Linked DNA regions of Oryzias latipes. The protein of the gene in region 2 interacts with the protein of the main gene of each other region in a pairwise test. Links are inferred from orthologs where the notes say so. Each region holds a gene or a part of one and is shown on either strand. Other genes may lie near its edges. The genes, in order: mrvi1 and prkg1.

Evidence for each region.
Region 1: the proteins of prkg1 (region 2) and mrvi1 interact in a two-hybrid assay, tested with the Homo sapiens proteins (2 studies listed by BioGRID). The link is inferred for Oryzias latipes from reciprocal best matches to the Homo sapiens genes PRKG1 and IRAG1.

Annotation. Positions count from the first base shown.
Region 1 is NC_019861.2:20,004,437-20,010,855, forward strand, and holds part of mrvi1 (protein MRVI1), read right to left. Parts: coding exon 6,375-6,419; intron 4,039-6,374; coding exon 3,932-4,038; intron 3,854-3,931; coding exon 3,792-3,853; intron 3,473-3,791; coding exon 3,299-3,472; intron 3,148-3,298; coding exon 3,067-3,147; intron 2,906-3,066; coding exon 2,862-2,905; intron 2,621-2,861; coding exon 2,564-2,620; intron 2,235-2,563; coding exon 1,794-2,234; intron 1,714-1,793; coding exon 1,635-1,713; intron 1,242-1,634; coding exon 1,127-1,241; intron 964-1,126; coding exon 933-963; intron 1-932.
Region 2 is NC_019873.2:20,227,280-20,233,698, reverse strand, and holds part of prkg1 (cGMP-dependent protein kinase 1), read right to left. Parts: intron 5,863-6,419; coding exon 5,799-5,862; intron 3,417-5,798; coding exon 3,339-3,416; intron 2,175-3,338; coding exon 2,080-2,174; intron 1-2,079. UniProt on the Homo sapiens protein: Serine/threonine protein kinase that acts as a key mediator of the nitric oxide (NO)/cGMP signaling pathway. GMP binding activates PRKG1, which phosphorylates serines and threonines on many cellular proteins.

The DNA.
Region 1 (6,419 bases), on a different chromosome or scaffold from region 2:
GTAAAGCTATCTTACGATCTTTTATATTCCTAACTCCTCAATGTTTTATCAGGGCCTGTTTGGATGAACACAGAGCTGAAATCCTGGAGATGGGAAATGTTTTTAAATCAGTTAATGAGGGCAATTTCCCACGGCACACTTGACCATCTCCCACGCGGCACACTGGTTGAAAAACACTGATCTAGACCCACTAGACAGTGCGCTGAACCTTTTTTCTTCAATGATTTGTGATCTTCACTGGTGTCCATGGATTACATGAAATCTTTCCACCTTTGTCCACCTTTTTCATGGTAGGGAGAACACGTCAATGTAAGGGTGGGGTCATCTAAGATAGCACAAGGGTTAAGTTGATTTTCTTCATGGTAGAAGGGTAAGGTATGATCCAAACCATTTTGCAGGATGGAGGATGCTCCACCATGTTTAGTTTATACAGAGCAGTCTAGTGTACCTCTGTGGTTTCCTCTTGGAGAGTATCAAAAGTAAGGTTCAAACCAAAGAAGTTTTAAAAAATGCATCATATTACATGAAGCCACACAGCTAAAATAGTGCATCTTCTTTTTCACAGAGCTGTGCATATACAAACAACTTGATATAATTTATAACAATTAACTTTCCTTTTTTAATGTTCTAGAGGGAAATAACGGGGGTCGATGCGGTTTTTTGTTTCACCTGTGACAACCTGTACAGCATTGTTGGCCAACTCAAATTATCAGTTGTCTACTGACAAAAAAAAACAACTTTAATTTCTGGAATGTTTTCACTGTAACAACATGTTTCTTCACACCATCATATAACCCTAAAATCAAGAAACTTGCAAACATCAGAAAACCTGTTCTAAATGTGTCATCTTTTGCATGAAACATGTCCAATACTAAACAGAAAAACACACAAGTTCACTAACATGGAACCACTTGAACAGAATAGGTACCCACCTCCACTTCTTTTTCACTGAGTGGGGGTGCACTAGTATGAAACAGAAGAAATTATTGTCAATTAGACAAATTAGAGTGTACTTCATTTTTACATAGAGTACTTAGACTGTACCTAAGTATACTTATTAAAAACAAAGCAGCAAAAAAGATTTTTGGTTATCAAATAATGAAAGTCAAATTGATTTGTTACCCACCAGCCTGGCAGAGCTCGATGGAGTTTGAGTTTTCTCAGCATCATGTCTGAAATGTTTGGCATGGCATTCTCCTTCCCTTCCTCAATGCTGGCTGACTTTGAAGATGATAAAGGTCCTGTGGAGAAAACAACAATAACAACACAACATAGTTTATTTATTTATTTACACAGGAATGAAGTTTAATGTAAAAATAGGTCAATTCTTATTATGGTCTCTTTAATTTGAATATACCAAAAAGTGTTATTATTTCAAAGTAAAAAAGCTTAGTCTCTTATTGTTAGGCACTGAATTTTGCTTTAACAATTATGCCATCTACTGCCAGAAGATAAAAATGCATTTTGTGTTTTCTTTTACAAAACAGAGCAGATCCTCGGATTTTTGTGTAAAATCGATTTTTTTGTGTGTGTGTGATGCTAGGTGGTTTATGCTGCACTTTTTACCTTTACCTTTTTTACCGTTTTGCATCTTTGATCTTTCAAGAAAAAAAACAACAAATAGTAACCATTACCTTTTTCCTGTTCAGTAGCTTCACTAAGTTCTGGTAACTTTGACGCCACAATGCTTTGGTTACGCATCAGCTTGTGCTCCTGTGGACACAAACACATTCATCATGCAGAAAACCAGTAAAAAAAATCCCTTCAAGGGGCTTAGTAAATGTGCACTTTACCTCTCTGAGCTTTGTCAGTTTGCGCACACCTCCTGGTTGTGTGGGAAAATCCTTGTACCCTGAGGACTTGAACGCAGCTTCCCTGGGCTCTTCTGAGAGAGGGTCTTCAAGTGTTGGAGGAAAACTTGGGGATCCATTTCTGGAATTCATGCTGCCTACAGCATCCCAGGAAACAGCTCTCATCAGTGGTGGAAAGGCCCCAATTGTCTTAATCTCTGCTGTGCAGGGGGCTTGCTGAGTAGGGGGCCTGGGGACAGGCTTGGCCACCCCAGTGGCAGGTGCTTGGTTTAGGTTTCGGCCTGAAACTTCATCTGCTTTACTAAGTGCAGAGGAACACTTGGGCACAGCAAGGTCGCAGTTCTCGTTTTGTACAGAGAACCGAGGCGTTAAAGTCCCAGAAGACACCTTTCTTTTCTCTGAGGGCTTCCACTCCACCAACAGCTGTTCAGGTTCAGCAAGGAAACAAAAGATTGTGTTATGAACAATTCACATCTATTCAGATGTTTAGAATGGGCTGTTGGCCACTAGTACAACATAATCACAGCTTGATTTCAAAGTGATTTTTCTTTTACCTTTGGATTGACCTTTGCAACTGCAGTTACTTTCTGCAATCAGGAATTGCAGAGCTTTTCTAAAACGTTTTCTCAGCTGATGGAGCTTCAACTAAACAATTATTTTTCAATAAATCAATAAAATAAAACCCTTGACACTTCTAGTTCAAGTCATTAGTGTACAGATGGGAAAACATGTAGAGAGTCTGTCATTCTGACCTCCAGATCCTTGCTCTTTGAATCAGACGACTCCCTCACCAGCGGCACATCACGATGCTGCAGCAGGAAAAAATACAAGATCAACAACAACTGACTCAGGTAGCTCTCTTTCTGGGAAGCCAAGCAATTTAAGGGCTAATAAACCTCATTTTCAGACAACAAAAAAATAAAAAAATAAAAAATAAAATGTACACTTTCTTGTTTTAGCCAAGGAAAAACAATTGAACTTTTGGGAAAATACTCTGAATTATTCCTGTTTCATAAAGACAGAGGTCATAGACAAACAAAAAAGATGAACCTGAAAGGCAGACTGGGAGCTGACATGGGTCATCTCTGAGCTTGCTGCAGACAAAAGAGCAGAATATGAGTTTAAAAAATAAAAACAAGGTCTTTGTGGCTTTAGGTTGATTGAAAGTTATCCGCTGAATCAAGAAAACTATACTTGTAGAAGCAGATTTGTTTTTGTTTTTTTGATGTTTGAGAAATATGAAGTGAGAACAGACCAGTTTGAGGGGCCACAATTACTGAGCTGCTCCTTGAGGAAGATGGTGAGGAAGATGGAGGAGTTGGACAAGGAGAAAGAGCTGTGAGGGAAAGTCATCCATACTAGTTTTAATCACAAATTTAAATTAAACACTTTTGAAATGTATTGCAACAATATTTAACATCTTTTAAGCAGTCAGTGCTTGAACTCTGTTATTCATTGGTGTACGTGTGGGTTTCTGCATGGAGTACCTGTAGGGGACTCTGTGAGGCTGCTGGTGGATCTACGTCCTCGGCGAGACAGAAACCGATCGCTGACCTTTTTTGCCTGCTCCAGCAGCTCGAGGTTCTTCTGTCGATCCTCTTCGGACAGCTGTGGCTCTGGCAGCTGATCTCTCAGTAGGTCTATCACATTACCTGTGCTGTCTGTACAGAGGGACACGACTCAGATGTTTACACATCCTCTGCGGGCTCCTGGGGGGAAGTAACCCTTTTTTTTCTTGTTTTTTAGGAGATCCTTTAAGCAATTATTGGTAAAATATCTCATCACCAGAATTAGAAATGTTATCATCTCATTATAAAGCAAAACCTAATAGTTAAAAACATCCCTTGAAAAAAAAAAGCAACGTTCCTCCCAGTGTGTGTCTTTAATTTGATGCTGGGCGGCCACAAATTGTTCTCACAGTGTTTATTTTTAGTAATTACTGCTGCAAAATGTCTGGGTGTATTTATGGGATCTACCCACCGACTGTGGTGATGGGTCCTCCAGAGGGCTTCTTAACCAGGCGAGCTCTGGGACTGTGTGGTCTGATACAACAAATGTTATCCAGAGACAAAGATTAAACACAAAACTTTTTATCATGGTTTGAGTTTAAGCTATTTTACCTGGCCTGTTCCAAAGAATGCCAATCAGCTTGTTCAGCAGTGACCTGCTGTGGGTAGATGATTGTGGGGGCTGCAAACACGATGGTTTGGCATTCACTGGGCGTGGACTGTAAATAAAAAAATTAAAAAAAGCATTTGTGTTTGCTTAAAACAGACAGACGATCACTAGACAAATAATACAGAAGTTCCTGAAACTTTTTAAAATTGGGTTTTGATATTTGTGGCATCAATACCCAAAGACTCACAGCTCACTGGACACTATGCGCTTTGTTGTAATCAGATTTCCAAATGGCCCAACATACAAGGCTCTTTGATAACATTATATATCAAACAAAGGAATAGTAAACAACTGTAAAGACCTGCAGACTTTGCTTTCAGAGCTTATCATTTAGAATGTAGGATTTGCATTTGCAAAAAGGCTGTGTTGGCGCTTACTTTCCTGCTAATTTCACAGTACACCCGTTGTTGCGTCAAAAATAGGAAAATACGCCAGGCCTCTCAGCTATCAGGGCTTTGTTCTTGTCGTTCACTGTAGCCGCCATGACAGAAATGTAATGATTGACATTTGTAATGGCACGTTTTCTTGAAGGAGTTCTTCATAACTTTATTTCTTGTCTTTTTGTTGTCATTATCAGCCATCAAGTCCAGGTCCTACCCTCAAAACCAGTTAGTTACAATTTTATTGTTAGAAACAGTTTTTACATTTCTCACTTAAACATATAAATCATTTCTTTTTATTATAACAATAAAAAGAAACAATGTCGTTCCAGGAGCTGACTGTCGTAACTGATTGAAAGTTCCTTTCCTGAAAGGATCCAAACCCTGTAAGTTTGCTGTCAGTGAAAAACTTCACATGCCAATCCGAGAAGCAGACAAAAAGTTAGAGGTTTGAAGAAGTCAACTCTCAGTTAGAAAGATCACATTTTTATAAACTAGAATCACCCTGATGCTAGTTCAATTGGAACTTAGAGCATCACGTAATAAAATATTGATATGTAGGGGACCAACAATCTGTCCAGGATGCAGCCCTTCTTTCCATCCATTCCATGCTTATCAATTCCAGTTTTGCTACAGAAAATTCCATCTGTTATTTTTTGCAGTGGTAAAGTACTTGAAATATTCAGACAACACATTCTTGGCCTTATTTGAAGAAGTCTTTACTTTATATCACACACATTAAAATCTATTAAAACATTGTGGGACATTCACTGTAAGTAGTAGCTGAAGCCTTTTTGTTACATCATCGGAGGGCATAGATACCAACATCTGCTAATACTGCCTCTTGAGTTCTTTACATTTTATACTCACTTTTACCATCAGGGTTGAGACACAGTGTCTTGTGGCTTAGAAAAGGTTGGAAAATGTTCAGTCATACATTATTTCATCTGGAGAAGATTTTAATGATCTTATTTCTAGTTGAAATCTTTATAAATATATATTTTACATGTGTAAACAAACATGCTTTGTCATTTATTCTCTTAGCTTAGCACAAGTTTGAATTTCCCAACTTCATTATGACTTTTGAGATTCATGTGTTTCTTACGGACGGCACCAAAAACACTTTATGGTGGCTTAATTTTAAAAAGTCAGTTTTAGATGCTGTTAAGTATAGAAATGCTGTGCTAAAACAAGGTAAATATTTTCCTATTTACATTTTTTTTGCCTAAATCAGACTGCTTATAAATGGCATCGAGAAATGCAGTGCAGCTCTGAAAATAAAACGCTGCTAAAAAAAAGCAAATGAAGAAAATTACTCATGGTTGATTTGAGTCATGCACACACATTTTCTTTCTTTATTTAAATAAACTCTGAGGTTAAGATAAGTAAGAATTTAGTCATGGAAGACCTATCTAAACTAAGACTTTGAGTTACAGATAGCTCTCAAAGGACCCAAAGCTGCCATTTTGCTGAGACTTGGAACCCAGTCCAAAGAACAAAAATGGCCTCCCTTAAAAAACAGAGAGAAGCCTTTAAACCTCAGCTGATTTGACTGATTTCGCTTGTGTGCTTTGAAATTCCTCACATCCTTTCGGAGGACCTCAGCAGAGCTCCGGTAGATTCATGAGGAAAGGCAAGTAGTCTTCAAAGACTGATTGTAAATCAGCCCTCAACAAGATTCATTTGTAAACATTATGAGGGAGTTAATTCAGCATAAAGCCATAACAGTAAAATATGCACCAATTCAAATGCCATTACTTCAGTTTATGGCATGGCTAGCTTGTGTTTGTTTGTATGCACAGCTGCACTTTAGTTTGACAGACAGTCGAAATAAAGCATTGTTGGTTGAATAAAATAACATAGTGCTCAGCTCTTAGAATCATTTCAATGAATAATCATTTAAAAACTTCTTTCATAGTTCAGACTTATGAAGCATCCACCTTGGACTTTGGTCCTACAGCCAAATAGATCATAAAAATGTGCGTGTGAATGTGACAGAACTCACTGTTCTAGGAGAGCTGGAGGAGCTATCCATCTCCTCTGGAGATTC
Region 2 (6,419 bases):
GCCTGGTGCGAAGATGGGCCAGGCTTCCTGAATTTGAATGTGCGACACATGCTTGACTATCAAAGGTGCAGCTGAATAAGCTCCTCAAGCTCAAGACACTCCAAGACAAAAAGGTGTTTATGGCAAGAGACAATGGAAATGTGAAGGGGTTTCTTACATGAAAAAGTATGATTTTCTTTATTTAAGCCAAACAATGAGGGGCTCTTTTTCGTGCTTTGAAGAACAATGCAGAGTGCTTCAAATCTTTTCTGAGAAACGCTTAAAATGCTCAACAACATACATCTACATTGAAAGATTTAAGGTTTTTGGACAGACATCATGTAGGCAATTTTTATTAAATTAAAACCAGATAAAAGCGAGAAAGACTTGTGATTAATCACTACTCTGAACAAATAGTTCCACACAAAAAAAAACTGGTGAGTTTATTACAGTACTGACCCAAATTTCTCCTTAGAACATAATGTCCACAAAACTACTTCAGTATTCAGCTGCTTTGCAACTCCTGCCATCTTTTTCTGTCCAAAAGTCAGATTTTTTTTTGCATATGTCGGAGCTTTCCAGATGTCCATCTCCTGTACATTAGATTGGGCACTACTTTAGCAAACAATCAAGATCAATGTTTGAAACGGCTACTAAGGTCAAGTTGCTTTTGTACATAATTTTGCTTGAAGTCAGCATTTGCATGAGGTCTTTACATTGTACATGACCTTTGGCCACAAGATGGCATCATCTCCATTTATTTGAACTCCCTTCATTTGTCACCTTTGTGCTCAAAATGAATATGCAGGAGCCTGTCTCCTGTTTATTCCTTACTGCTCATACAGCGATAATCCACTCATGATTATTCTCTGTCAATTGTCTAAATAGCACATCAACTCAGGAGCTGCAAAGAAGCGGACAAATGGCATGAAAAGGAGGAAAATGTGTTTTTTTGGGTGCTCGTCTTTGATGCTGAAAGCAATTTAAAGATGACTTAATACTCTACAGATGATCCTAAAAATGCTTTGGAGCAGGTGTCCTAAATTACTGCATGTTGAAGCAATTTTGAAAGGAGCAGAGTCCAGATATTCAGAGCTCAAATGTTTTTAATTAGCTTTTTAATGCGTTTTGAACCTTCTCAGAAAACAATATAATGTTTTTTATTGAGGAAATCAAGTGGTTTACTGTATTGTGTCCTTCAGTGTCCAATAAGATGACTTTTCTTGTTTATTGTTTTTTTTTACTGAAGAAACAAAAGCAGACCAGCTTACCTACATGTTTAAGTTCTGTCGTCATGTTCTAAAACATCCAGAATTTGGTCATATTTCAGCTTTTTCTGATTTAGGGTCTGTTTTTCTAAAAACACATGCTTTTTATGAAAGGATAATTGAAAATCATGTTTAATTTTGCACACATTTAATCTAATTCTTCTGCAACGCCAGAAACATGCAGCATTTCATATAATTGTTTATGGAGGAAGGAGGCAAAAAATTAATTAAAGCAGCTGAGGATTAGGTTGAAAGGTTTTTTGCTCTCAAAGCTTTGGCATCCAAGAAATGAACTGAGAAGAAAAGACAAAAGACGTGTTTCACCAAATGAAATGAGGTTCCAATGGGTACACAAATGCAACATTTCTGTCACATTAAGTGACTTCTTGCCTCTAGTTTCTTGTCTGCTAGAAATAAATATAGGCAAAAACCACAGATGTTACTGTGGCTGTGAGGGATCACTATTGCCTTTTTTTTTAGTTTCTCATTAATTCTGTCTTTTGTTTTTCTCTCATGCAAAAGGGATTGACGCTAAACTCTTATAGTTGTTTGTACTAATGGGAATAAAAATACATGAGCATTCAGCTTCAAATTTATGGCATAATTTTTATTCTAACAAATCTATAGTGCAAGAACACTCAGTTAACCTCTTTTTAGTGCAGAAGTTTTGGTTTGACACACTTATGAACTCATTTAATAGTCAGCGTCACTTACCAAATGTTATATGGCTCCCTACTTAGTAGTTTGAAGTAGAAGATATTTAACAGAATAGGTAAATATACTAAATTGAAATTCATAGGATCGGAAGCGTAGGTATTTCAAGAGATCTCACCCTTGCAGTGCTTTCTCTCCAAACCAGTCTCCCTTCCCAAGGCTGCGGAGGTAGACAGGCTCTCCATTTGGCAAGTCTTCTCTGGTCACATTAACCTGAAAAGAAAAGGGCAATGCGGGTGGAAAGTTAAAGAAAAGACAAGCGTGGCTTCGAGAGGATGAGGTAAAAACAGAGTGAATTGAATTGCACACAGAGGTGGCAGACATTCCTGAGCAGAGTCTGTTACAAACAGATAAGAGTCATTACTGTGCAGGACCTGAGCAAACGCTTGACCACTTCATTAGGGAGATTACACGCGAGTGACGGCCCTCTGCTGTGCCCCAAGACTCTACAAATCAAAGGAATGACACTTGAGCATATTTTCGAAGAAGTGGATGAGATTACCCCTTCGCCCAATGAAGGATCTTGTCTTAAGCCATTAGGTGTAGCAGGAAGTCCACCGCCAGCATACAAAAATGACACGCAGCTGAGTGACAACAAAATTAACAGCGATTCTGTACGATCAAGTAACAGCAGGGGAAAAAAAACATAAAAAATAAAAAAGGAAGATTTGCTGCAGAGTAAATCTACTACTGAAGTAGGCAACATCGGTAAAGTCCGGACATTCATGTCTCAGTCCAGGTATTTATGAGCTAATCTGTTTGCTCTGGGCTATGAAGTGACCTGAGTCAAAGGATTTGACAGCTTGTGAATTTTTTTTCTGTTTGGATTTAAAAATAAGTTGAAGTTTTTTTTTTTTTCCCTCCACACTTCCAATGTTAGTTTCCCACAACTTCTGCCTTTTGAGGCTCAGAGGGACTACCAGCAGAAAGAACAGCTGTTTGTCGTCGATAAGCATGTCCCTATAAAATGAAAAATGAAAAATACGTTCTTGCTTGATGTGCGGGGTGGAAAAAAAATTGCTGAATTCAAGAAAAGCTAGAAGAAAGAAAGAATACTGGCAACCATCGTGGTGTGAAATACATGTGAAAGCCCACAGGCGGTGATGTGACTTCTAGACAGTACTGTGCTCAGTGAAAAAGCCAGTGTTGATTACTGAAAAGGAAAATCAAAGTGACACCATTCTGCTTTCTAGAAACTCCCACTGCTGCTGTAAGGAATGATGAAAGAGGATGTGCTTCTCCTCTATCGCTCGGTGATTGATGACAGCTAAAAATGCCACCTCTTTGCTTTTAAAGACAGGCATTTTCATGTGACACGATGCCTTGCCTTCCGATGAGGATTATATCGAGGTTGCAGCCTCACGGGGCTGTCCTCACCTTTCCTTTGCTGATAATGAAGAAGGTGTCTCCTCTGGCTCCCTGTCTGATGATGTACTCTCCTCCTGCATAGTGCGTCTGGCAGAAAAAAAAAAAAGGGGGGGGGGGGGGCAAGACCAAAGAAGGGAAATGTTATTTATGCTCATTGTGGTTGTTTTACCCTTTTTCTCACCTAGCATGTAAGGCAGTGTCTAAACACTTTTATGAGGGGAGTTAAGATGATCTAGACTAGAGCAATGCAATACAGCATAACTAGACTCGTTGTCTGGTTGAAAGCTGTGTTGCTGCTTTCCGCCCACTGCTTGCTTTGGTATGCACTGCAACCTTTTAATGTGAGGAATCAGGTACAAAATAAATAAATAAACGAATGTTTTTGCATCTACTATAAAAGGAAAAAGAGAGGTCAGTCGCAAGAATACATAAACAGAGGATATCCATCCATAAATGTGTTTTTTACACCCACAGCACTTCTGCTAAGGGTTGAGGGCAGTGGAATGTAACACAGCATGCAACGGGCTCTTGACTCATCATTCAAGCACAGGAATGACATACAAACTAATGGAAACTGAATGCACCTGCTTTTTAGTCAGAACCACCACTTTAAGCAGTTTTTTAACGATGAACCAAGCTAAAGGGTAAATGTTTTGATGGATAAAGAGACTAAACATGTCAGATGTGACATCTTATAATGCAATGATCAAAATAAACTGTGGAAAAGAAAGAGGCAAGTGGCTCAGTGTGTTTAAGAAACAATCATGAGGTTCACAAAGTATCGTGTCAGTTTGGGTTTTCCAGCAAAAAGCTTTCAATTTGATCCTCCTGCATGATAAAACTTACTTCAGACCGGAAACTAGATTTTCACAGAGGTTAACATTTGCCATTTCATTTATCACCTGAATTGAGGCAGGAAATGTGTTAAATGTAAACCGTACAGAAAGTAATTTGGTGACCGCTTAATCAAAGAATTTCTTTTTCGTGAATTGTGTGGTTCAAATGCCACATCACACTTTTTCTCCTAAGAATGTCACAGCACCATTAATTCTACTGGTATTTTGAACCATAAAACCTAAGTTATTTTAAAAAAATTACGTTACTAAAATGTATGTTGGATGCATATTTCAATGCATCCAACATTTCTTTATGATTTAGGATTGTCCATTTCTTTTCTTCAGGCCAATTGGACTTATAGGATCAAGAAATTTAAGGAAAGAGGATCAATTCTTGTTAAGGACAATTCAACTTCTATCCTTGGGTCCAGTGTACTAACATCTGTCAATAAAAGATTCTTATAACTCCCCAAAGAAAACAGAAGTAGCTACACAGTATTTAGAGCTGTATTCTTAACATCCACTTATCCATTTTCGACCCTTATGTCCAGTTCAGGGTCACAGGGTTGCTGGAGGCTATCAAGCTACTGTTGGGCAAAAGGCAGGGAACACCCTGGACCACTTTCTAGATGATAACATGGCTTTTTTAAACCCAGTTTGCTCGATAAGTCTGTGCTTGTTGTGAAAACACCAATCAACAAATTCAGAAACTACCGTAATTGTTGCTGATGCAACAAATTGTATGATCTTTATCTCTGAAAATATGCTGCATTGTATCCAATTCATCAAGGAGGTTTTTGACAGAATGTGCTTTGATAATCCAACAGAAACCCTCTGAGAGGGAGTGACACGCTCAAAGACTATTCTGCTGCCTGAGTTCCAAGTTGATTATTTTACTTTGTCACACTGTAAACTGTGTTTACTGCCAGCCCCATCCATTTCTTTAATATCCTGTTATTATTTTTTGTTTTGTTTCCCCTTCCTGAATGCAGCTATCATCTAATTATTGACATAAGAGCAATCAACACACTCTATAAACCTGGCAGAGAAAAAAAAAAAAATCAGATTCTACAATCCCATCAGCCATCCTCTGTTTTCATTTTTGTATGTTATTTCTTTTATTATATTTTTAATAAAAACTATAAAACAAGGAATGTATTTGAAAGATATTTAAAATGTTTTTTTAAAAACCTGAAAAATTCAGGTTGCTATAGTGATGCTCAAGTCATGATGCACAGCAAACCACGGCATTAAATAAAATGCATTCCAATACACTTCAGTCTGCTTAGATTAATTTGCTATGTTTGCCAGCTGAAATAGCTTTTGGCGGGAGTGCACTGAATTCCTGAACAGGTTTGTGAACTGTCGCTGCACAAGTGGCCCATTTAGTTCACAATCACTCTCAGCACATACTAACAAGCAAAAACTGTGTTAAAACCCAGATGGTGGGCAAGTTTTTCCATTTAACCCGGAATATTTTTAAGCATCCGTTTTCAAGTAAACATTATATAGAATGTGCTTTCAATCTGCGTGCCTTCACTTTATTGCAATACAAAGGAGTATTTGTGTGAATCTGTTAGGATGTGTGGAGGGCTTTTGTGCTGCCCGTGCAACAAAGCGGCAAGGCACAAACCTCCTCAAGGACATCAGCAAGCTTGCTCAGAATATCTTCCTGTAGGTCGTGGAATGTGGGGACGCTGCAAGAAAAAAAAAAAGCTTTCAGTCACATGAGGAAACGGGCTCACATTGTATGCTGTAAAAGCAGTGGAGCTGAAAATGTAGAAAATATTAAAATTCTTAACATCGTAGGGGAATATTAAAAAGAAAAGACACCACCATCTCAGGAACATAGTATATAAAAAATCAAATAACCTGTAATGCTGCGTTCAGGAAGATTTCACAACAGATTTGTACCGCTTCAACATTTCGCACCGTGCCTCTTCCAACTTTTCATGTACTAGAATCAAGTAGCGGCAGACTAGTGTGAACACAATTGACTATATATGAGAACTGGACTAAGTGACCCCTCCCCTCTTCTGTTCCAAATGGGTAGCACCTGCCAGTCCCAAAAATCCAAAATCCCATGGACTTTTATTGAGAAATAAACAGCTATTACTCAGTCATTTTTCCCGATAACCATTCTCGCTCTAAAATATCCTTTTAACATTTACTTAACAATCCAATTGTTTTTTAATTAAATATTTGCTGGACTGCAAATTCTTCAAGTTATAAACTGACTGATCATATGCGTCAA